Saccharomyces cerevisiae S288C: one gene and its partners. The protein of the gene in region 2 binds, or shares a complex with, the protein of the main gene of each other region. Each region holds a gene or a part of one and is shown on either strand. Other genes may lie near its edges. A codon is read from its position in the direction of its gene.

Region 1 (3,419 bases), on a different chromosome or scaffold from region 2:
TTCGCATCTTGACCAAGTATCCCAAAATTTTGGTATGATATGGATTGTCGGATATTTTATTCTTAGTTGTTTCTTTGCGGCTGTATAGTAAATGAATAAATCACACATGCCCTAGCGCGGCGTCGCGGATTAAACAAGGTAACAATGGTTAAAGGAAAAATTATTTGTTAAGGTGGGTATATTATAGATTGCTAATTGTAAAGTATTAATAGTTTATTAAGTATTAAACTAGAGTTCGCACATGCTTTTATTTTTTTGTTGCTTTTCTTCACGCTACCGCTTCTTGAGACTGTTGTTTGGTAGTACTGATATCTTGATCGGTTGATCCCGAGCTGCGATTACCCGTGGAGCAAACTTCTTGATCCTGCTGTAGCGTACCGTTTGCTAAGCCTTCATAGTAAAGTTCCTCGTGAAACTGGTTTCTCAACACAATGACGATGATGGCCACTGGAGTGCATACAAAGGCAATTACAACGGCATAAATCAACTTCATGACCTGCGGTAGTGGATAATCGTTGAAGTAGTAGTCGTGGGACCCGACCTTATGGCCTATACCAGCAAGGATACCCATAGTGACTGGCCAAATGACAATGAACATGGCAATGGCTAGGATCATAGATCTGATGAATTTCTGCACAAACCATTCTATAAAGTTCATGAATTTGGACTGAGTAGAATCATGAATGAACTGAGATGTGAGAAAACCTTTCAACGTAGCTTCTTTACCTTTGGGAATGATTCCTCTATTGACCTCTAAATAGCCAAAGAGCCAATTATGCTTATGATACAGAGTGTTCTGCTTCGCAACGACGTTGTCTTTGGATTCGAAGTAATCCACAATGAAACGCTTTTTAGGGGGTGGTATTTCTTCGTTAGATTCGGTTTTCAGTGGTGACGGTTTCGTAATCCATTTATTCAATCTGAAAACAGGCCTCTTGTAGTCATCGAATCCAACTAAAATTTCCTCGCTAGCCCATGTAAGACCCACCTGGATGAATAAACTTAGTGCACAATCGCCTGAAATGGTGTGAGGAAATGCCCATAAGGTGATAAGATCTACACGGGAATGGTACATGGCATATGCGATGGCAAACTCGATGCCGCCCGAGATTATTGCAGAACCTAGCGCTTGGATGACGAAAAGGTAGAAGATGATGAACCAGATGGAATTTCTGAACCCGGTCGGGGTCGCTGGCGCTGGCTCTGAGGATTTCATATATGTGAAGAGCGTCTATTTTCAAGGGTGTTGATGCATATATATCCGTATATATGTGTGCCGGTGGAAGGTTATAACATCTTGAAGAAAGAAAGAGGAGAAATTGGTTTTAGATCAAGGACAGATAAACTATATCTTTCAAAAGCCGATGCAAATCGTATACAGCAAATATCAATGAAGGAATGCGATGGAGGTGATGCTAGTGTGGACTGCACTATTTTTTTTTCCTGTTTTTTTCCACTTTTGTGTAGGAAGAGTATTGAATCAGGAAAGCGGGAAAAACCGCAAAGAAAAAAGTAAACTTATCCGTGAAAATCAATTACATTACCGAAAATGGCAAGATCCAAACAAGAAAAGTAAGTAAACGAATGCGAATACTGGAACAAGCAGGGCATAAAGAGGCACATGCGTCGTTTGTAGCCGACGTGCTTCATTTATCAGGTTAGTTGGCAGCGGCTGGACCATACAGGTTCTCACAATGTGTTGGTCTACGTTCGGTCATGCACCACGGTTGTTCCGTCAAACGGTCAGAAAACACACGCGGAAAATCCAAAGGAAAAGATGGGAGAGAAAAAACATGAAGTTGAGAAGCAACGAAACAAGGTTTGATCCAGAAAGGGGAGGCTAAAGGCGAAAAAGGCGAAAGAAAAGCGTTTAAGAGAATTTTACAAACGTAGTAAAATAATGGGTGTCATCAAGAAGAAAAGATCGCACCATGGAAAGGCTTCGCGCCAACAATACTACTCTGGGGTACAGGTTGGGGGAGTAGGCAGCATGGGCGCCATAAACAATAACATCCCGTCGTTGACGAGCTTCGCGGAGGAAAACAACTATCAGTACGGATACAGCGGCTCCAGTGCCGGCATGAATGGCAGATCGCTTACGTACGCGCAGCAACAGCTTAATAAGCAAAGACAGGACTTCGAACGTGTACGACTTAGACCAGAACAGCTCAGCAATATCATACATGACGAGAGCGACACGATATCGTTCCGATCCAACCTTTTGAAGAACTTTATAAGCTCGAACGACGCATTTAACATGCTGAGTTTGACCACGGTACCGTGCGACAGAATTGAGAAGTCCAGATTGTTCAGTGAAAAAACAATAAGATATCTCATGCAAAAACAACACGAAATGAAAACACAAGCGGCAGAGTTGCAAGAAAAGCCTCTGACGCCACTTAAATACACAAAACTTATAGCTGCGGCAGAGGACGGAAGCCGTAGCACAAAGGATATGATAGATGCTGTCTTCGAGCAAGATAGTCATTTGAGGTACCAGCCGGACGGCGTGGTCGTACATCGTGACGATCCTGCGCTGGTGGGTAAACTCCGCGGAGATCTCCGCGAAGCGCCGGCGGACTACTGGACGCATGCTTATAGGGATGTTTTGGCGCAATACCACGAGGCCAAGGAGCGTATCAGGCAGAAGGAAGTAACTGCAGGTGAAGCACAGGACGAAGCCAGCTTGCAGCAGCAACAGCAGCAAGATTTGCAGCAACAGCAACAAGTAGTGACTACAGTTGCCTCGCAAAGTCCTCATGCAACTGCAACGGAAAAGGAGCCAGTACCCGCCGTGGTTGACGACCCACTGGAGAACATGTTCGGAGATTATTCCAATGAGCCGTTCAACACCAATTTCGACGATGAATTTGGAGATCTTGATGCTGTATTTTTTTAATAGCCATGGGCGGCTACTTCTTGGAAATATATACTTTCCTTTTACATATTTAGTATAGTTATACATGTGGATGTGTATGGAGGTAAGATCAGATAGACCCTTCACTGTTTTCTGTGTATTCCTTGTGACATAGTGGATTTGTGCAGCTACTGCTTATAGGAAGCAGTGCCTGCAAAACAATTCATTCGTTGGTTGATGTGGCGCGCTGACTGAATGTGTAGGGTCTGTTGTTACCCCCTTGCTCCGGGGGCCCACATCTCTCTGACGCGAAGAAAGGCTCGAGATGTGCCAGTCGTAAACACCGCCTCATTTCCCTTGCATTCTCCTCCAGTGAAAAAGCAGTACGACCTATCTCCGAAAAAAAAAAACCTCCTGTGCGTTTACTGTGGATCATGCAACACGATTTCTGTAGATTAAAGACGTTTTTGGCATGGACTAAGCTAAATTCCGTTTGATTAGCCGCCCATAACGGGTGGCAAACAACACGATGAAACTCTATATCCCCGCTTAACGTTTCGGC
Region 2 (7,543 bases):
CAGAAACTCATTTCTAATGAGTGGTAAATACATTTGTGGGAAATATCTTTAAGGCCATCTCGGACCTGTATATAATCTCCGAGTATTTCCATTAAAGATGAATCAAATACATGAAATATCTATTAAAGACATATACTCAAGGAAAAGAAGTAGTAGATATATCTTCTTTATATATATTGCCCTGTGTTGCTAGCAGGGTGTTGGAACAAATAATTTGTTCCGTATTGGAAAATTTATAATTAGGTCCAAGAACAAGTTCACTATGATGACGACATATTACTTTGTTCAAAGAGATGGTTTAAAATAAATATGTATAGCAGAATTATAAGAGGCGAAATCGATCAATTAGTTGAACAATTAACTTAAAATCTAATATATATAAATATATATATATATATATATAGGAAATATACGGCACGTTATACTAGAGATATTAAACATCCCAACTCGGTTAATGGGTACAATAAAAAAAAGAGGGATTAATGTTTGTCTACGTATAAACGAATAAGTACTTATATTGCTTTAGGAAGGTACTATACACTCGCTTCTGTCATGCTCGAGTCCGCTTCATCTGTGAAAGATTCAGCCACGCTTGAAGTAACAACAGGAGGCAAGACGAGGGGTCTGGTGCCATACTGTTCATCAAATTCAGTAAAGTCGAGTTGTGAGTTATCGCCCATTATCTCACAGTATTTCTTCGTAACCACTTTTTCCAGTTCTAAAGAGTCTTCGTATACTACTGAACCCTCAGTATTGTATATCCTAGCATTGGAAAATATCAGATGAAAGTCTTGAAGGGTCTCTTTAAGGGAGTTGTAAGCTAGCGTTTCAATATGCGTGTTAATATTATCAAAGGCGACAGGGTACTTAATAATCATATAGTAGTCGGGATATAGTGCTTTGGAAGGTTTGGAGAGGAAAATGTCAGAAAGTTTCCTTCCAGCTTCATTTTCATAATTGAGAGCAAAGTGGTATAAGTCTAGAGCTTGTTTAGCAACTTTCTCTCTAATATCAATAGGACTCGTTGCCGCAGCGGGCGTGCGGACATAATCAAGCCCATTTCTTGCTTTTGGCGGCCTTCCTCGTCCACGTCCTCGCCCTCGACCACGACCACGACCGCGACCACGGCCCCTTGTTGAAGTTCTTGCTGATTTAACAGATGTTTTTCCCGCTGTACGTGGTTTTGGAATGTCCATAAAATCCTCACTGGGAGAGTTATCGCCAGTAACTGGACTTGATTCAAGCGCTGGTGGTTCAGAATTTTCAGATCCTTCAAGTTTCACTTTCTTAGGTCTTCCACGGGGCCTTCCTGCCTTTCTCTTTTTAGACAAGAAATCATCGTCATTCATTGCCAAATCCGTATCTGCCCGATCTTCGGCCGATATATTATTAATTCTAGGACCGTCATTATCAGCGTCAATGTTTTCGCCTTTAATTTCTCCATTCCCATCAATCGCCTCGCTCTTATCTTCCTTCTTTGTTCGTTGTTTTCTTGCCTGCTTGTCATTTTTTTCATCATCGCTAACTTCAAATTGTCTTAACCACTGTTCTTCAGACATATTATCGTTGTAAGTTGCCGTCTTACGTTCTCTTGCACCCCTTCCATTGTAAACAGCAGCAGATTCTGATTCTTCACGTTTGAGCTCGGCACCAATATCTCTACTGTAAATATCAGGTAATTCACTCTTTTCTAAGAGACGGCTCTTTACTCCCAATTCTTCCTCCTTCTTTGATCTATCTTCATCCATCCTTGTAAGAACAGCCATTTCTTCGTCATTTCGAGCAAGAATTTCGTTGATTTCTGAGTCTTTTAACTCCTCTTCTTCTTCAACACCAGACTCTCTTTTCTTTCTACGTTCCTCTTCTGCATCCAGCAAAGATCTAAGCAACGCTTCTTGTTCCTCCGATGTAGATTTGTTATCGAATTTACCTGCTTGAATGACTTTACCATCGATATCTAGCTTCTTGTAGGCTCTCTCTAGGATAACTTCTTCAACTGAATTCGTAGTAATCAATCTTAGAATTCTAACTTCATTCTTCTGACCTATTCTATGCGCTCTATCCTGAGCTTGCAAATCTTGATGAGGATTCCAGTCAGTATCAAAAATAATGACAGTGTCTGCAGTTTGTAAATTTAAACCCAAACCACCCGCTCTAGTTGATAAGATAAAGCACAAGTATTCAGAATCAGGGGCGTTAAATAGACGTAACAACTCACTACGTTCATCAGATTTTGTATGACCATCTAACCTCAGGTACTTGATATTAATGTACCTTAAAAAATCTTCCATAATATCCATAATTTGGGTCATTTGAAAAAAAATTAATACTCTATGCCCAGTTGCCTTAAGCTTAGGCAAAATTCTATCTAATAGTTCAAATTTACCAGCAACACGCCAAATATCATCATTCGTTTCTCTTGTTGGATTGATTTGGTCCTCAACTTCTTCAAATACAAAAGGATGATTACAGATTTTCTTTAGTTGCATGATTTGATTATTGAAACCTCTTAAACCTACCATTTTCTTATTATTTTGATCACCGATAAAAAGACGACGATATTTCAACATTTGTTGGTACATAATTTGTTGTAAAGCGCTCATTTTGCACTTCACTACCTTCTCAACTTTATCCGGTAATTCTTTTTCTACATCCTTTTTCAAACGACGCAATAAAAAGGGTCTCAAGACTTTATGCAATCTCCTGATAACCAAAAGCGTCTCTTCTTCACTCAACTCAATTTTATCTTGCCCACCGGTGTTGGCAAAGGGTGTATTGAACCATTCATCAAAAGATTTCACGGAATTGAAAATCTTGGGTAACACAAAATTCAATAAGGCCCATAATTCTGGCAAGTTGTTTTGAAGTGGTGTACCTGTCAAAATTAATCTATAATCTGCATGGTAATGTGTGTTCAAGGTTAAAGAAAGCTTGGATTGCGCATTTTTCATTCTATGGCCTTCATCAATAATCATATGGACCCACTTGACCTTGGATAAAAGTGCTCTTTCTTTAATAATATACTCAAAGGTAGTCAGAACTACATCAAATTCACCTGCCCTTATTTTAGCCTGTTTGGCTTTCCTCTCATTTGGCGAACCTTTAAATGATATAGTTCTTAAGGTAGGAGCCCATTTCGCGAATTCACTGCTCCAATTTGACAGTGTAGATAAAGGAACAATGACTAAATATGGCCCACGAATATTCTTCATTTCATATAAATATGTAAGTAAGGATATCGTCTGGATAGTCTTACCAAGACCCATTTCGTCTGCTAAAATACCATTTAAATGATTATTGAAAAGCGAAACCATCCACTGTAAACCCTTGATTTGATAGTCCTTTAAGGTACCACCAACCAATATTGAAGGCTGCTTCTTGATATCTTCTTTAATTCTATGTGCGACATTGTAATAATCGACGTTAGAATTGTCGTCGTCGTCATCATATTCTTCATCCTTCATCTTGGGGACCATGGACAAATCATCCACTTCCTCCGATGCTTCCTTTATGTGGGAATCAATCATTTCTTTAGTGTACTTTTGTTGATCTTTCACGGCTCTTGTTAAAGAATCTAAAAATGCGTTTGTTTGCCTTAGAAGATGTGTAATTCTTGTATCTTTGGTTTGGTCTAATAATTTTATATAGGCTTCCTCATCGTTCGCCTTTAAAGCCTGTAAACGTTCTTTTGCCTTTTTTTCAGCTCTCTTTTGCTCATCCCTTTCTAAATTAGTATGCGTAGCAATGAGTCTATGGCCAAACTTCAACCTTTTATTCTTTTTATCTTGTCTTCTATTATATTGATTGATGGCGGATTTATTCATCGACTTTAATCTGGCCACTGCCTCAGTCTTCTTCCTTTCTAACTTAAGTAATTCATGATTCTTATAAAGTTGGTTTGTTAGCAATGCATCTTGAACGTTGATGTTTCTTATTTTCGAAAGAAAATTTGGATGTGTATTGGTTAATAAAGAATTTTGATGCCATTCAAATTGTAATACATGACCTCTTACGGCTTTTTGTAACGGTAATAATTGTAAGGCGTAGTAATCGTAAAGAGCATTTTCCCTGGTTGATTCCGTACATTCGTCATTTAGTAGCTTATCCAAACAGTCATTTACCGTAGTATCTAGGTTCAATGCAATTAAAGTTTGGTAAATGTCAGTAGCGGTATGTGTGTCAATACCAACCGGTAGAACGCCAGGTTCAATAGTAAACTTTGCATGATCCGAATTGGCCAATAAAGTCTGATAATCGATATTACTATGTGAGATATTGGGCATCGTAAAAGAATCAACCATCATATCAGGATCATCTATATCTACCACTTTTATTCCTTCCTTATATTGATCTTGAAGGACGTTTAAAGGAACGGGTTTCTGCGGTTTTGGCGGGTTATTTTGCTCGGTGTGGGTCTTATTACTATTAGGAGCTGTTTTAGCTACGTTTGAAATGGTTTCGTTTTCCTCTTTTTTCGATTCTGTTTGCGTGATTGGAGTGCCACTTACAGTTTGCGAATTTTTATCGAGGGTGCCATTCTTCGCATTATGTACACTAGATGGACCAGCTGGTGAAACAGATGCAAAATTTTCGTCTTTGCTATCTAAAGGTGCATTTCTGGTAAGCCCAGAAACGTTGTCAGTGTTAGTGTTATTGTAGTGGGAATTGGTGCCGGGTTGCTGCGTATTGTTGCCGCCATTGAGATTTGATTGGTTATTTTGATCTGTGGGTTGTCTTCTTCTCGCAAACTCACTCAAAGACAGTAACATTCTTTTGAAATCTGGAGGATGGTTAATAGATTTTTGGATAACAGCCTGAAATTCAAACGGAATAGGCTTTCTATTTACTAGACATTTTAGAGATGTGATTTGGGCCTTTAACAGTTCGGATTGCTCGGCAGTAAACATTGTCATGGGTAATCTTCTCCCCTGTTGCAGTCTCGCTTGTGCTTGTTGTGCCTGTTGTGCCTGTTGCGCTTGTTGCGCCTGTTGTGCTTGGAATTGTGCCTGCTGCATCTGCGCCTGCTGGGGCATAGGAGAATTTATCTGCGAACCTGGCATCACATTTGAATCCTGTATGTTGTGTTCTTGTAATGATCGATTTTGCGGTTGAAGCTCGGAATTATTAAGGTTTAAGTTATTATGGTTTGAGTTATCTGGTTTCTCCGCAGCATTTTCTCCATTGTTTGCTGGTGTTGGTGAAAAATTAGTTGCATTTAATGAACCAACCGAAGATTGCCGTTGTGGTAGCATGTTATTACCACCATTGCTATTTAATGGCATCTGTGTTTGCATGATTGGTGATTGATGAGCAGAAGTGCTAAAGGTCTCATTTCCATTCAATTGCATATTCGGAGCTAAATGCGGGGAAGCAGAAGCAGAAATGTGCGAGGAAGCATTATTCGGCAGTTCTGCTTGATCTGAAGAATTTGGAACAATATTTTGCTGAGAACCTGAAATGCCTTGCTGTTGGCGTTGCATTTGTAATTCTTGTCGCTGCTTGGCAGCAAATTGCAACACTTTAGTCAAATAGATAAATTCCGGCACACTCGGAGCGTTCATTCCGTGTTCATTTCTCAAATGCTGCCATCTTAAATAGCAGCGGTTGACCTCTTCGTTGCTAAATTGACGCTGTGGTATGTTCATGGCAGATAATTAATCGAAAGTCGTGAAAATAGCAGAAAGTCGCGATTAGAGAAACAACAGAATAGCTGACCTTCCCGATGATTTATATACAAAAGGTCCACGTACGTCACAAATATCTTCTTTATTGAGACTAGAGGTAACCTTTCTTTTAACTTATTGTCCTACCGCCTCAGGATGGCCCCGTTTCGTCAATCAATTTGTTGATATTTGTCTTTCAAACGCGGTTTTAACATATCGCGAACAACGGTATTCGGGTAACAGCCTATCACTATTTTTACCGGCGGCTATTTTTCCTAAACCTAGTATATATACGCGAAAATTGGCTACCTGCAAAATTCCAATAGTGGCGAATGTATTGGAATTAATCTGCAAGGAAAATAAGCGTTAGGAACTTCAACTGTATTTTGCTCACTAATTCTTCTTCATCATGTCTTCTTCTTTTTTTTTCAATTACTTGTTAGTTCTTAGTGTCCTTATGTTCACTCAGAATAGCCATTAAGAATCGTGTCTTTTTGGAAGTGAAGGAGTTTCAATAAAAAGAAAAAAGCGAATATTTCAACACTGTGTTCTAAGAAAAGGCTCTATAGCTTTTTTTATTAGTTTTATTAATTTGAAAAATGCCTTGTTTGTTTTATATATATATATGTGTGTATTTAGGGCAGCCGCGGCCAACAGGGGGTATGGGTATGAAGAGGTGATAGAAGAGTGAAAAATGAAAAAAAATGGAAATCAAGGAAAGAGTAGTGAAAAAAAGAAAAAAAGGAAAAAAGGGCAAAAAGAGAACGCAATACCATAGAGTTGGAGGTGTTGGACTTGTGAATTTATTTTTGATTGAAAATAGTTCAGAGTCAATAGATTCTTCTTTAAAATAAAAAGGAGCCCAGACTTACTGATAGATCTTGCATATACTCCGGTAATGGATATTCCCTCTTCAAACCAAATTCAACATGGCCAAAGGAGTGAAAGGAACCGAAGAATGCCGAGGGCTTCTTTTTCTTCTACAGCCACTACTTCTACGGCGGCCACATTGACTTCCGCGATGGTACTGGATCAGAACAATTCGGAACCGTACGCAGGTGCAACATTCGAAGCCGTGCCAAGTTCTATTGTATCATTCCATCACCCTCATTCTTTTCAATCAAGCAACCTCCCAAGTCCGCATTCTTCAGGGAACCTAGAGCAGAGAGGCCGCCGATTGACTGAATCAGAGCCTTTAGTATTATCCTCGGCTGAACAGTCTCGAAGCTCTTCTAGAAACCCTTCTCATTTTCGATTTTTCACTCAGGAGCAAATATCCAATGCTGAAGGCGCTTCCACGTTAGAAAATACAGATTATGACATGGCCTGGGATGCCACCCCCGCTTATGAACAAGATAGAATCTATGGTACGGGCCTATCTTCCAGGCGTTCTTCTATTCGAAGTTTTTCCAGAGCATCATCTCTCTCAAATGCAAAGTCTTATGGATCTTTCAGTAAGAGGGGTCGCTCTGGTTCAAGGGCACCACAAAGGCTGGGAGAAAATTCTGACACTGGGTTCGTTTATCATTCCGCTACACATTCATCATCCAGTTTATCGAGATATACGACCAGAGAAAGAATTCCTATTGAACTAGAAAGTCAAACAGATGAAATACTAGAAGACGAGTCTTCTACACATTCTTTAGAATCTTCAGATAGTAGGCGATCTGCAAGCGAAAATAATAGAGGAAGCTTTTCTGGTCATGATGATGTTCATAATCAGCATAGCGAATATCTAAAACCTGACTATCATGAAAAGTTTTATCCACAGTATGCACCAAACTTGCATTACCAAAGGTTTTACATTGCGGAAGAGGATTTAGTTATTGGTATCGCTGCTTACCAGACCTCAAAATTCTGGTATATTATTTACAACCTGT
Region 3 (4,640 bases), on a different chromosome or scaffold from region 2:
AAGAAATACCCAGAAATATACTAGCTAAAATCGCTTTTATTCTTACCTTTATGTACTGTTGCCTCTATATGTCTTCCCTTCATATAATAAATTCCATTTCTAAAAAAATTGTAGTTGTGTTTATAGATGTATAGATAGATAAATGAATGTGTACTTGCTGCCTTAACGCCTTCCGCTAAAAACTTTTTGATATTTATTTTATTTTTAACCTTTCCTGACTTCAACCCTTACTGTAATGATGATAGTAGAAGCCGTCTATTTTTCATACTTTTCTCATGTTGATTTTCCTTGCAGACAAAGACAATCTCTTGGATGGTTTGTACCAACCACCATTATCTGAAGGCATAGATGCAGGAGTAGCGTAGTTTACTCCCGATGATATCGTATAAGACCAGCCAGGAGTTATCGTAGTTGCTTGCTCTGGCAATGACCCAAAGGTAGAGTAATATGTCACAGCACTAGTGGCAAATTTCCTTGTCCATGTGGTAGCGGTCACTTTAGTATTTGGCTGCATTTGCATTGGAGCGAAACGCGACGTACCAGTCTGCTTGGTGTACGGAACAGTAAATGAACGACTGTCAATAGTAGTGGCTTGGGCGTTGTTTGTAGTGGTTGTTTGAATAGAAGTCTGGGGAGTAGGTTCAGTTGTGGCACTATATGTATAAGCCGTAACACCGCCCATGGAAGTCAACTGGAATCTTGGTGTATAATGGATAGTGTAACCTTGACCGTCCACCTGGGCAAAAACTTGAATGTAATATTGACCGTTCCCAGTTAAGGTCGAAGCAAACTCAGCTGTGTAAGAGTAAACTTTATCATCTTGTGTTAGCTCACTTGGAGTAATTTTACTGGCAAGTACGGCCACACAGTCAATGTTGTTATTAGGACCAGTACAAAGACTGAACGTGAAAGTTGAAATCTTGCTTAACGAGGGATATGCCCCATTATCCATCCATTCAACGGGAACAGAGACAGTACCACCACTTGGACTGAATGTTGCCTTGGAGCTGGGGGAAACAATATTCACATCTCCCAGCACAAATGAGACTAAAAACACCAAAGCACATATGATGGAATTTCTTTGTAAACGCATTATCTATAATATGTCACAGTTGCTGATTCTCTGAGAAGGAAGTAAAAAGCGAAAGAGTAGATTCCTAGTAATCAAAACAAAGTGTGAACTGCCACTTTTAGCGCTTCTTGGAACTATCAAACTGGAGCAAATCTGGCTTCAAGAATGCTTTGAGACTCCTGTTCTATTCCTGTATTATCCTTGAAGATCTTTTTCGAGGAAAAAAAAAAAGAAATGTAAATAAAACACCTAATCGTCAAAAGTGATATTATATTGAACCGCCGTGGTTACGATGGAATAATGGTCAATACGCAGTTTAGATGGCATCCAACAATTCAGGATGGCCAATGATGTTATTTTAGTTTGAATTGATTACTTTTGAGCTAGTTTAAATTCGATTTAAGAGCCATTAAGTAGGCATCACGAATAACGAGGCCGGACGTTTGGCGTTTAGGCCATTGGCGAAAAGACGAAAACAAACTATATCAGATACGCAAGAGGAATGTGTAAAGGCCATGCAAGGCGCGATATATTGGTACATCGAGGCGCGTTCAGAGACCAATTGTGATACGGTTTGCAAGCATGGAGAATACACTGGGTGAGGGGTCCACGGTAAACGCTTCCGTGGACGTGGACCAACATGGCAATGACAACAATAGTGATAGCAACGCTAATGCAGCTGTGGCAGGGGTTGCCAATACAGATACTGCTGGTGAAGAATCGCAGCAACAAGATGAGTCTCTGAAGGATGAAGCAACTGTTCCGAACACACGCGATGCAGAAAGTGAGGCGATAACGGTAACGGCAAAGCAGCAGCCGACTATGCAAGCGAATAAGCTAGATTCCCAGGAAACACCTTCTACAGAAGAAAGCAGGGCCCAGAACGTCTTTGGCCAAGATAATGAGGATAGTGATAATCTCTTTGGCGAAACCGAGAGTTCTGTTTCGAACAATGAGGCAAACACTCCTAGTATACCTACGAACCCGGTAGACAATGAAAACAATAAGCCTGCTATTAAGGAAGACAGCACAATACAGGATTCAAATGGTGACGTTAAAAACATGGAGGACGTCAAAATACAAAAAGAGGAAGAACCAGAGAATAACACTGTTATTGAAGGTGTCAAAGAAGAAAGTCAGCCAGATGAGAACACAAAGGAAATGGATGAAGTGGAAGAAGATGATGAGGATGACGATCAACCGATGATTAGTCCTGATAATTCCATTTTTGGAGACACAAAGAGTGAGTCTAAACAACTAGGCAACACTTCGTCGGTTGCTAATACTCCATCTGAAATTCCAGATGCGCATAAAGCTGAACAGGAGGATATCATAGAAAAGACGGAAAGTGTAGATAAGAAGGTAGATAGTGGCGAAGAGAGAAACGAACAGGAACGTGAAATCATGAACGATCACTCCAAAAGTGCCAATCCAAAGAAAACCACTATCACCAGAGTAGAACCCGAAACTTTTGAGATACCGCAAGCACATGAAATTGTTATTCCAAGTTATTCTAAATGGTTCAATCTAGAAAAAATTCATTCCATTGAAGTTCAATCGTTACCTGAATTTTTCACCAATAGGATTCCATCAAAGACACCTGAAGTTTACATGAGATACAGAAACTTCATGGTAAATTCTTACAGGCTGAACCCCAACGAATATTTCAGTGTCACTACGGCGAGGAGAAACGTCTCTGGTGATGCTGCTGCATTATTCAGATTGCATAAATTCTTAACAAAATGGGGGCTAATAAACTATCAGGTTGACTCCAAACTATTACCTAAGAACATCGAACCCCCACTAACGTCTCAATATTCCACAAGGCATGATGCCCCCAGAGGACTATTCCCATTCGAAAGTTACAAACCATCTGTACAACTGCCGGATATGGCAAAGCTTAAAAAAATGATGAACACTAGTGATTCGGAGAGTACTTTATATAAATATTTGAAAGAAAGCAAAAGAAAATATGATGAAATAACTCACCCCCCCAGTACCACTGATGATGAAAATGGTGACAAAAATGATAATGGTGGTAAAATGAACAATGAAGTAAGTACGTCAACAAGCATGACTGGTGATGCCAATCTATTGGAAGAAGGCGAAACTTCACGTCCTCTGAAAAAAGTCAAAATTCTAGAACAAATTGATGAAAATTGGTCAAAAGAAGATTTGCAAAAGCTATTAAAGGGAATACAAGAATTCGGCGCTGACTGGTACAAAGTGGCCAAAAACGTTGGCAATAAGTCGCCTGAACAGTGTATCTTACGTTTCCTTCAATTGCCCATTGAAGATAAATTTTTATACGGTGACGGCAATGGCAAGGGTGATAATGACAACGGGTTAGGACCTTTGAAATATGCTCCTCACTTGCCATTTTCGAAGAGCGAAAACCCCGTTTTATCAACAATAGCATTCTTGGTGGGTTTGGTCAATCCGAAGACTGTACAGTCGATGACCCAGAGAGCCATTCAGTCCGCAGAATCAATAAAATCACAAAAAGAGGAAATCTCTGACCAAAAGCCAATTGAACATATTAAAGAAGGTTCAGAAATTGCCATATCATCATTGGGTTATAGGAGTCATATTTTCGCTACCAACGAGGAAAGGCAAATGAATTTTTTGACTAACGAGCTAATAAGACTTCAAATGGAAAAATTGGACGCTAAATTAAATCATTTAAAGAAACTAGAAAAATTTATGGAGCTAGAAAGGAAAACCCTAGAAAGACAACAGGAAAACTTACTAATTCAGAGATTGAACTTCAACCAAAACTCCAGCAAGATTGTAAACGTTTTAAGCAAATGCTTGAATTTAATATCCGACAGCAATATCAATAATAGTTCAGTGGCGGAGAAGGAGGAAATCAGGTCGCAGATAGACCATTTCAAAAGTATGCTATCGAAACCTGAAACTTTAAGTATTGGAAAGAATCCATTTAACAAACCTAATATTGAAACAGGTGAAAACCATAATGGCCAAAGTATATCTAACGAGAATGATGTCAAACCCATTTCTATTGAAGCACCTCAATTTTACAGGTATTGGTCGGCATAACAATGACACATGGAGATCATTTTTGTTTTTGTTGTAATTATTCTTCATTAGTAACACTTTCTATTTTGTTTCGCTCTATATTTTTGCTTATTTTCTTTCTTCTAGGTTCATTTCTTTAATGGTGCGTCACTTGACTTGGCTTCTCTCTGATTTTTATCCCATTTCTCTAGATTCGACTAGACATGTTATGTACATGTAGATATATATCTATAATTGTGTTATTTTCTATTTTTTCTATTTTTTTTATTTAAAAGAGCCTTTATCAAAAGTTATTTTTCTTGTTCTGTGTTGTTCTTAGTTTGATTTTGATTCTGTGTATTGGCCTAAACAAATTAGTATATAGTAGTATATAAATCAAATATTCACTTTAAAAGATTTTAAAATTAAAAAAGCATTTAAGCAGAGATACGTTTTTGGGCAGCAATTCTACCTCTTTGTCTAGAAGTCAATCTGACAACCTTCTTTTCAGCAGCCTTGGCGACAGCTTCTTCCTTTTCGGTAACAACCA
Region 4 (3,654 bases), on a different chromosome or scaffold from region 2:
AGCAGTATCTCCACGACAAGTAAAAAAACCGAATCGTATATGGACAATATAAGGAAACTATCTTCTCAGCTGAAGGAAACCGAAAATAAAAGGAAACTAGCTTCAATAGACAAATATGAGAAACCATTGCCATCTCCAGAAGTCACCATGGCTACACAATTTAGAAATTCCACACCCGTCATACGTAATGAGACAAAAGTGGTTGCTAACCCAACATTATCTTTGAGGTCTTCACCCGTCCAGTTACAGAGCAATGTGGATGACTCCGTGTTAAGGCAGAAACCTGATAAACCAAGGCCGATTGTTGGGGAAGAACAACTTAAACCTGATGAAGATTCGAAAAATCCTGATGAAAAAGGTCTAATGGTGCATAAAAGAAATCAATCTCTCAGCTCACCATCAGAATCAAGTTCTTCTAATCCAACGGATTTTAGCCACATCAAAAAGAGACAAAGTATGGAATCTATGACTACATCCGTAAGTTCAATGGCCAATAGTATAGACGACTCACAGAGATTTGCCAAATCATGGAACTCGTCAAATAGGAAAAGAAAATCTATGAGCCATTTGCAAGTACCCTCATCCGCTTCTTCGAGGTCGGATGATGGGGGAAGAACGCCTAACTCTGCGCACAACCTCAATGAAGATGATTATAACACGAGGAGAGATACCAGTACAAGCACAATTTTGTTCAAACCTCCTGTGGCAGTAAGAGGAACGTCTAGGGGGCACACGCATAGACAATCCATGATAATGCAAGATTCAAGTAATCCAATTGAAGATGCCTTGTACGAAATGGAAAGAATCCAAAGTAGTTCTAAACCAGGTACAAAAACAGGAAACATCATGGATGAGAGAGGTGTGGTCAGGGATAGAGGTATTACTGTTACCTTGCCTATTGTCACCAGTGAAGGTTTTCCAGTCATTGAATATGCCAAGGCCATGTATCCATTGATTGGAAATGAGGCACCTGGATTAGCGAATTTCCATAAGGGCGACTATCTGCTAATTACTGAGATTGTTAATAAAGATTGGTATAAAGGTGAAGTTTATGATAATGACCGTATAGATAGAAATCATAGGATAGGATTAATTCCCTATAATTTCATTCAGCTACTGCATCAAGGTCTTTGATCTCGATGTATATCAATTTTACTAGTTTTCTGATAAAAGAAAAAAAGTATAATGTCAGATTTTTGTTAAGTAGAAATAGAAAGATATACGCTGCCGTGGGAGAAGGACACCTCTCCGGATTTGTAACTAAAAATCATAAAATATCACGTCTTTCCTTCATATTTTCAAAAAAAAAAAAAGTTTTCTTTACCATTTTTGACACAATAATCACGATAATTGTTAGGTCAGGCATTCCCTTTCCACTTTTATGTTCATTTGGACGCAATAAGATATACATATTATTTAATGTGCTCTAATGACAGTTCTACTGTGTTTATATCATTAGAGTCACTTGTTACGAATACTACATATTTCCGCGCAGTGGCTAAAAGCAAATTTCAACATTATAAATCTCTAATAGTAAACTGACAATATTGCGGAATTAGAAAAAATGTACCACGCGAAGTTAAGTGTCTTGAACAACTACTATATGCATTGAATATGGCTCCATTTAGGCAGGACAGTATTTTGGTACGTATTTAGTTCATCAATGGATTTTTTAAGTCTTCACGAACAGTTTTTGGTTAATCTTTTATACTAACAACAATTCATAACAGATAATATACCCCAGATCTCAAACTACTCTCGTTCAATTTGGTTTGAATGAAGAAACATTCACTGTACCTGAGCTGGAAATACCAACACAGATTTATCGGACCACGAGACAAGATGGTTCCTACACATATCATTCAACGAACAAGGATAATAAAGCCGAATTAATCAAACCAATCCAAAATGGTGAAATAATAGACATAAGCGCCTTTACACAATTTCTTAGACTAATATTTGTATCTATTTTGTCTGATAGAGCTAATAAAAATCAAGATGCTTTTGAAGCTGAATTATCTAATATTCCTCTTCTACTGATTACGCACCACTCTTGGTCGCAATCGGATCTAGAGATTATTACTCAATATGTCTTCGAAAGTCTTGAGATAAACAATCTAATCCAATTGCCGGCTTCCTTAGCGGCCACTTATTCTATGATTTCGTTGCAGAATTGTTGTATTATTGATGTTGGAACACATCATACAGATATTATTCCTATTGTTGACTATGCACAATTAGACCATCTTGTCTCTTCAATACCAATGGGCGGACAGTCTATTAATGATTCTCTAAAAAAACTACTACCTCAATGGGACGATGATCAGATAGAATCATTGAAAAAATCACCAATTTTTGAGGTGCTCAGTGACGACGCCAAAAAACTATCAAGTTTCGATTTTGGAAACGAAAATGAGGACGAGGATGAAGGAACTTTAAACGTTGCCGAGATTATTACAAGTGGTCGTGATACACGTGAAGTTTTAGAGGAAAGAGAACGTGGTCAAAAAGTCAAAAATGTTAAAAATAGCGACTTGGAATTCAATACTTTTTGGGATGAAAAAGGTAACGAAATTAAAGTTGGTAAGCAAAGATTCCAAGGATGTAATAACCTGATTAAGAATATTTCTAATCGTGTAGGATTGACGTTAGATAACATAGATGATATTAACAAAGCTAAAGCCGTTTGGGAAAATATTATCATCGTCGGTGGCACTACTTCAATTTCAGGTTTTAAAGAAGCTTTACTGGGTCAACTACTGAAAGACCATTTAATTATAGAGCCAGAGGAAGAGAAGTCAAAAAGAGAAGAGGAAGCGAAATCCGTATTACCAGCTGCAACAAAAAAGAAAAGCAAGTTTATGACAAATAGCACCGCATTTGTTCCAACTATAGAATACGTACAGTGTCCTACAGTAATCAAACTGGCTAAATATCCAGATTACTTTCCTGAGTGGAAGAAAAGTGGATATTCAGAGATTATATTCTTGGGTGCCCAAATTGTTTCTAAGCAAATTTTCACTCATCCTAAAGATACATTTTATATCACAAGAGAAAAGTATAATATGAAAGGACCGGCTGCTCTTTGGGACGTGCAATTTTAAGAATACGTGATAGATGCTTCGTGTATCCAAAATCCGTGTGAATATGTGCTGTTTAGTTTTTTCCATCCAATGAGGATGGGAAATATATACATAAACGTTATGTAATATATAGAATTCATGCAAAATTAACAAGGGAAATATCACCTTGGTTGTGTATATGGGACGTTGTTCGACAGAACGGATTGATTTTCACCAGTTCCAATTGATATGATCTTTTCCAAATCAACTTCCTCATTCTCATTTGCACAAGATGACTCGCTTCCGTCTGCTTGAGCGTCCTTTTGTATCCATCTTTTGAACAAGCTTACAAAGAAATTTGCCGTCATGACTTGCTCAACTTGATATAAAACCAAGGGAACCAACAACTTACCCAGGTGTTCTTTTTTATCGCCGTATTGTGAAGTAATTAGTGATACACCCAGTGCTGCAGTTTTAGCCGGGCCACAAAACATAATGCAAATCGCATCTTCCTTTGAATAATAAAAAGGCCTAAAGATATTATACGAATAGCGGTACAATCTTGTAGATTTGCCCTCTATTGGTTCATGAG

What was found.
Region 1: the proteins of SNF2 (region 2) and SNF6 are in contact, whole or in part, in a cryo-EM structure (PDB 6UXV), measured with the Saccharomyces cerevisiae proteins. Residues at the interface, in NP_014933.3 of Saccharomyces cerevisiae: Thr467 (codon at 4,247), Leu468 (codon at 4,244), Leu469 (codon at 4,241), Ala470 (codon at 4,238), Asn471 (codon at 4,235), Ser472 (codon at 4,232), His474 (codon at 4,226), Lys476 (codon at 4,220), Phe477 (codon at 4,217), His564 (codon at 3,956), Asn566 (codon at 3,950), Leu568 (codon at 3,944), Ser569 (codon at 3,941), Lys570 (codon at 3,938), Ile571 (codon at 3,935), Arg572 (codon at 3,932), Asn575 (codon at 3,923), Gln577 (codon at 3,917), Asp578 (codon at 3,914); in NP_011838.1 of Saccharomyces cerevisiae: Arg84 (codon at 2,150), Leu85 (codon at 2,153), Pro87 (codon at 2,159), Glu88 (codon at 2,162), Gln89 (codon at 2,165), Leu90 (codon at 2,168), Ser91 (codon at 2,171), Asn92 (codon at 2,174), Ile93 (codon at 2,177), Ile94 (codon at 2,180), His95 (codon at 2,183), Asp96 (codon at 2,186), Phe103 (codon at 2,207), Asp116 (codon at 2,246), Thr124 (codon at 2,270), Cys128 (codon at 2,282), Asp129 (codon at 2,285), Ile131 (codon at 2,291).
Region 3: the proteins of SNF2 (region 2) and SWI3 are in contact, whole or in part, in a cryo-EM structure (PDB 7EGM), measured with the Saccharomyces cerevisiae proteins. Residues at the interface, in NP_014933.3 of Saccharomyces cerevisiae: Pro485 (codon at 4,193), Val486 (codon at 4,190), Gly487 (codon at 4,187), Ile488 (codon at 4,184), Asp489 (codon at 4,181), Thr490 (codon at 4,178), His491 (codon at 4,175), Ala493 (codon at 4,169), Thr494 (codon at 4,166), Tyr497 (codon at 4,157), Thr499 (codon at 4,151), Ile501 (codon at 4,145), Ala502 (codon at 4,142), Leu503 (codon at 4,139), Asn504 (codon at 4,136), Leu505 (codon at 4,133), Asp506 (codon at 4,130), Thr507 (codon at 4,127), Thr508 (codon at 4,124), Asn510 (codon at 4,118), Asp511 (codon at 4,115), Lys515 (codon at 4,103), Glu527 (codon at 4,067), Asn528 (codon at 4,064), Tyr531 (codon at 4,055), Asp532 (codon at 4,052), Tyr534 (codon at 4,046), Ala535 (codon at 4,043), Leu536 (codon at 4,040), Gln537 (codon at 4,037); in NP_012359.1 of Saccharomyces cerevisiae: Gly421 (codon at 2,915), Leu422 (codon at 2,918), Phe423 (codon at 2,921), Pro424 (codon at 2,924), Phe425 (codon at 2,927), Glu426 (codon at 2,930), Pro430 (codon at 2,942), Ser431 (codon at 2,945), Val432 (codon at 2,948), Gln433 (codon at 2,951), Leu434 (codon at 2,954), Pro435 (codon at 2,957), Asp436 (codon at 2,960), Met437 (codon at 2,963), Leu440 (codon at 2,972), Lys441 (codon at 2,975), Met444 (codon at 2,984), Leu514 (codon at 3,194), Lys516 (codon at 3,200), Val517 (codon at 3,203), Lys518 (codon at 3,206), Ile519 (codon at 3,209), Leu520 (codon at 3,212), Lys529 (codon at 3,239), Gln533 (codon at 3,251), Leu536 (codon at 3,260), Lys537 (codon at 3,263), Ile539 (codon at 3,269), Gln540 (codon at 3,272), Gly543 (codon at 3,281).
Region 4: the proteins of SNF2 (region 2) and ARP9 are in contact, whole or in part, in a crystal structure (PDB 4I6M), measured with the Saccharomyces cerevisiae proteins. Residues at the interface, in NP_014933.3 of Saccharomyces cerevisiae: Lys622 (codon at 3,782), Lys623 (codon at 3,779), Lys625 (codon at 3,773), Arg626 (codon at 3,770), Leu627 (codon at 3,767), Phe629 (codon at 3,761), Gly630 (codon at 3,758), His631 (codon at 3,755), Arg632 (codon at 3,752), Leu633 (codon at 3,749), Ile634 (codon at 3,746), Thr636 (codon at 3,740), His637 (codon at 3,737), Leu640 (codon at 3,728), Glu641 (codon at 3,725), Glu644 (codon at 3,716), Arg647 (codon at 3,707); in NP_013747.1 of Saccharomyces cerevisiae: Glu28 (codon at 1,782), Thr29 (codon at 1,785), Phe30 (codon at 1,788), Tyr151 (codon at 2,151), Ser152 (codon at 2,154), Ile154 (codon at 2,160), Ser155 (codon at 2,163), Gln157 (codon at 2,169), Asp176 (codon at 2,226), Tyr177 (codon at 2,229), Ala178 (codon at 2,232), Tyr415 (codon at 2,943), Phe416 (codon at 2,946), Pro417 (codon at 2,949), Ile434 (codon at 3,000), Val435 (codon at 3,003), Gln438 (codon at 3,012), Ile439 (codon at 3,015), His442 (codon at 3,024), Thr446 (codon at 3,036), Phe447 (codon at 3,039), Trp463 (codon at 3,087), Asp464 (codon at 3,090), Gln466 (codon at 3,096), Phe467 (codon at 3,099).

What each region holds. Positions count from the first base shown.
Region 1 is NC_001140.6:52,951-56,369, forward strand, and holds SNF6 (Snf6p), read left to right. Parts: upstream 1-1,900; coding exon 1,901-2,899; downstream 2,900-3,419. Other genes in the region: alkaline-responsive transcriptional regulator RIM101, read left to right, coding at 1-38; YHL026C (uncharacterized protein), read right to left, coding at 269-1,216. UniProt on the Saccharomyces cerevisiae protein: Involved in transcriptional activation. Component of the SWI/SNF complex, an ATP-dependent chromatin remodeling complex, which is required for the positive and negative regulation of gene expression of a large number of genes.
Region 2 is NC_001147.6:854,614-862,156, forward strand, and holds SNF2 (SWI/SNF catalytic subunit SNF2), read right to left. Parts: upstream 5,646-7,543; coding exon 534-5,645; downstream 1-533. Other genes in the region: YPK9 (putative acid anhydride hydrolase), read left to right, coding at 6,562-7,543. UniProt on the Saccharomyces cerevisiae protein: Involved in transcriptional activation. Catalytic component of the SWI/SNF complex, an ATP-dependent chromatin-remodeling complex, which is required for the positive and negative regulation of gene expression of a large number of genes.
Region 3 is NC_001142.9:91,545-96,184, reverse strand, and holds SWI3 (Swi3p), read left to right. Parts: upstream 1-1,654; coding exon 1,655-4,132; downstream 4,133-4,640. Other genes in the region: RFA3 (Rfa3p), read left to right, coding at 1-24; KRE9 (Kre9p), read right to left, coding at 263-1,093; 60S ribosomal protein uL22 RPL17B, read right to left, coding at 4,528-4,640. UniProt on the Saccharomyces cerevisiae protein: Involved in transcriptional activation. Component of the SWI/SNF complex, an ATP-dependent chromatin-remodeling complex, which is required for the positive and negative regulation of gene expression of a large number of genes.
Region 4 is NC_001145.3:336,174-339,827, forward strand, and holds ARP9 (Arp9p), read left to right. Parts: upstream 1-1,614; coding exon 1,615-1,644; intron 1,645-1,730; coding exon 1,731-3,104; downstream 3,105-3,654. Other genes in the region: formin-binding protein HOF1, read left to right, coding at 1-1,134; YMR030W-A (uncharacterized protein), read left to right, coding at 1,140-1,430; RCH1 (Rch1p), read right to left, coding at 3,245-3,654.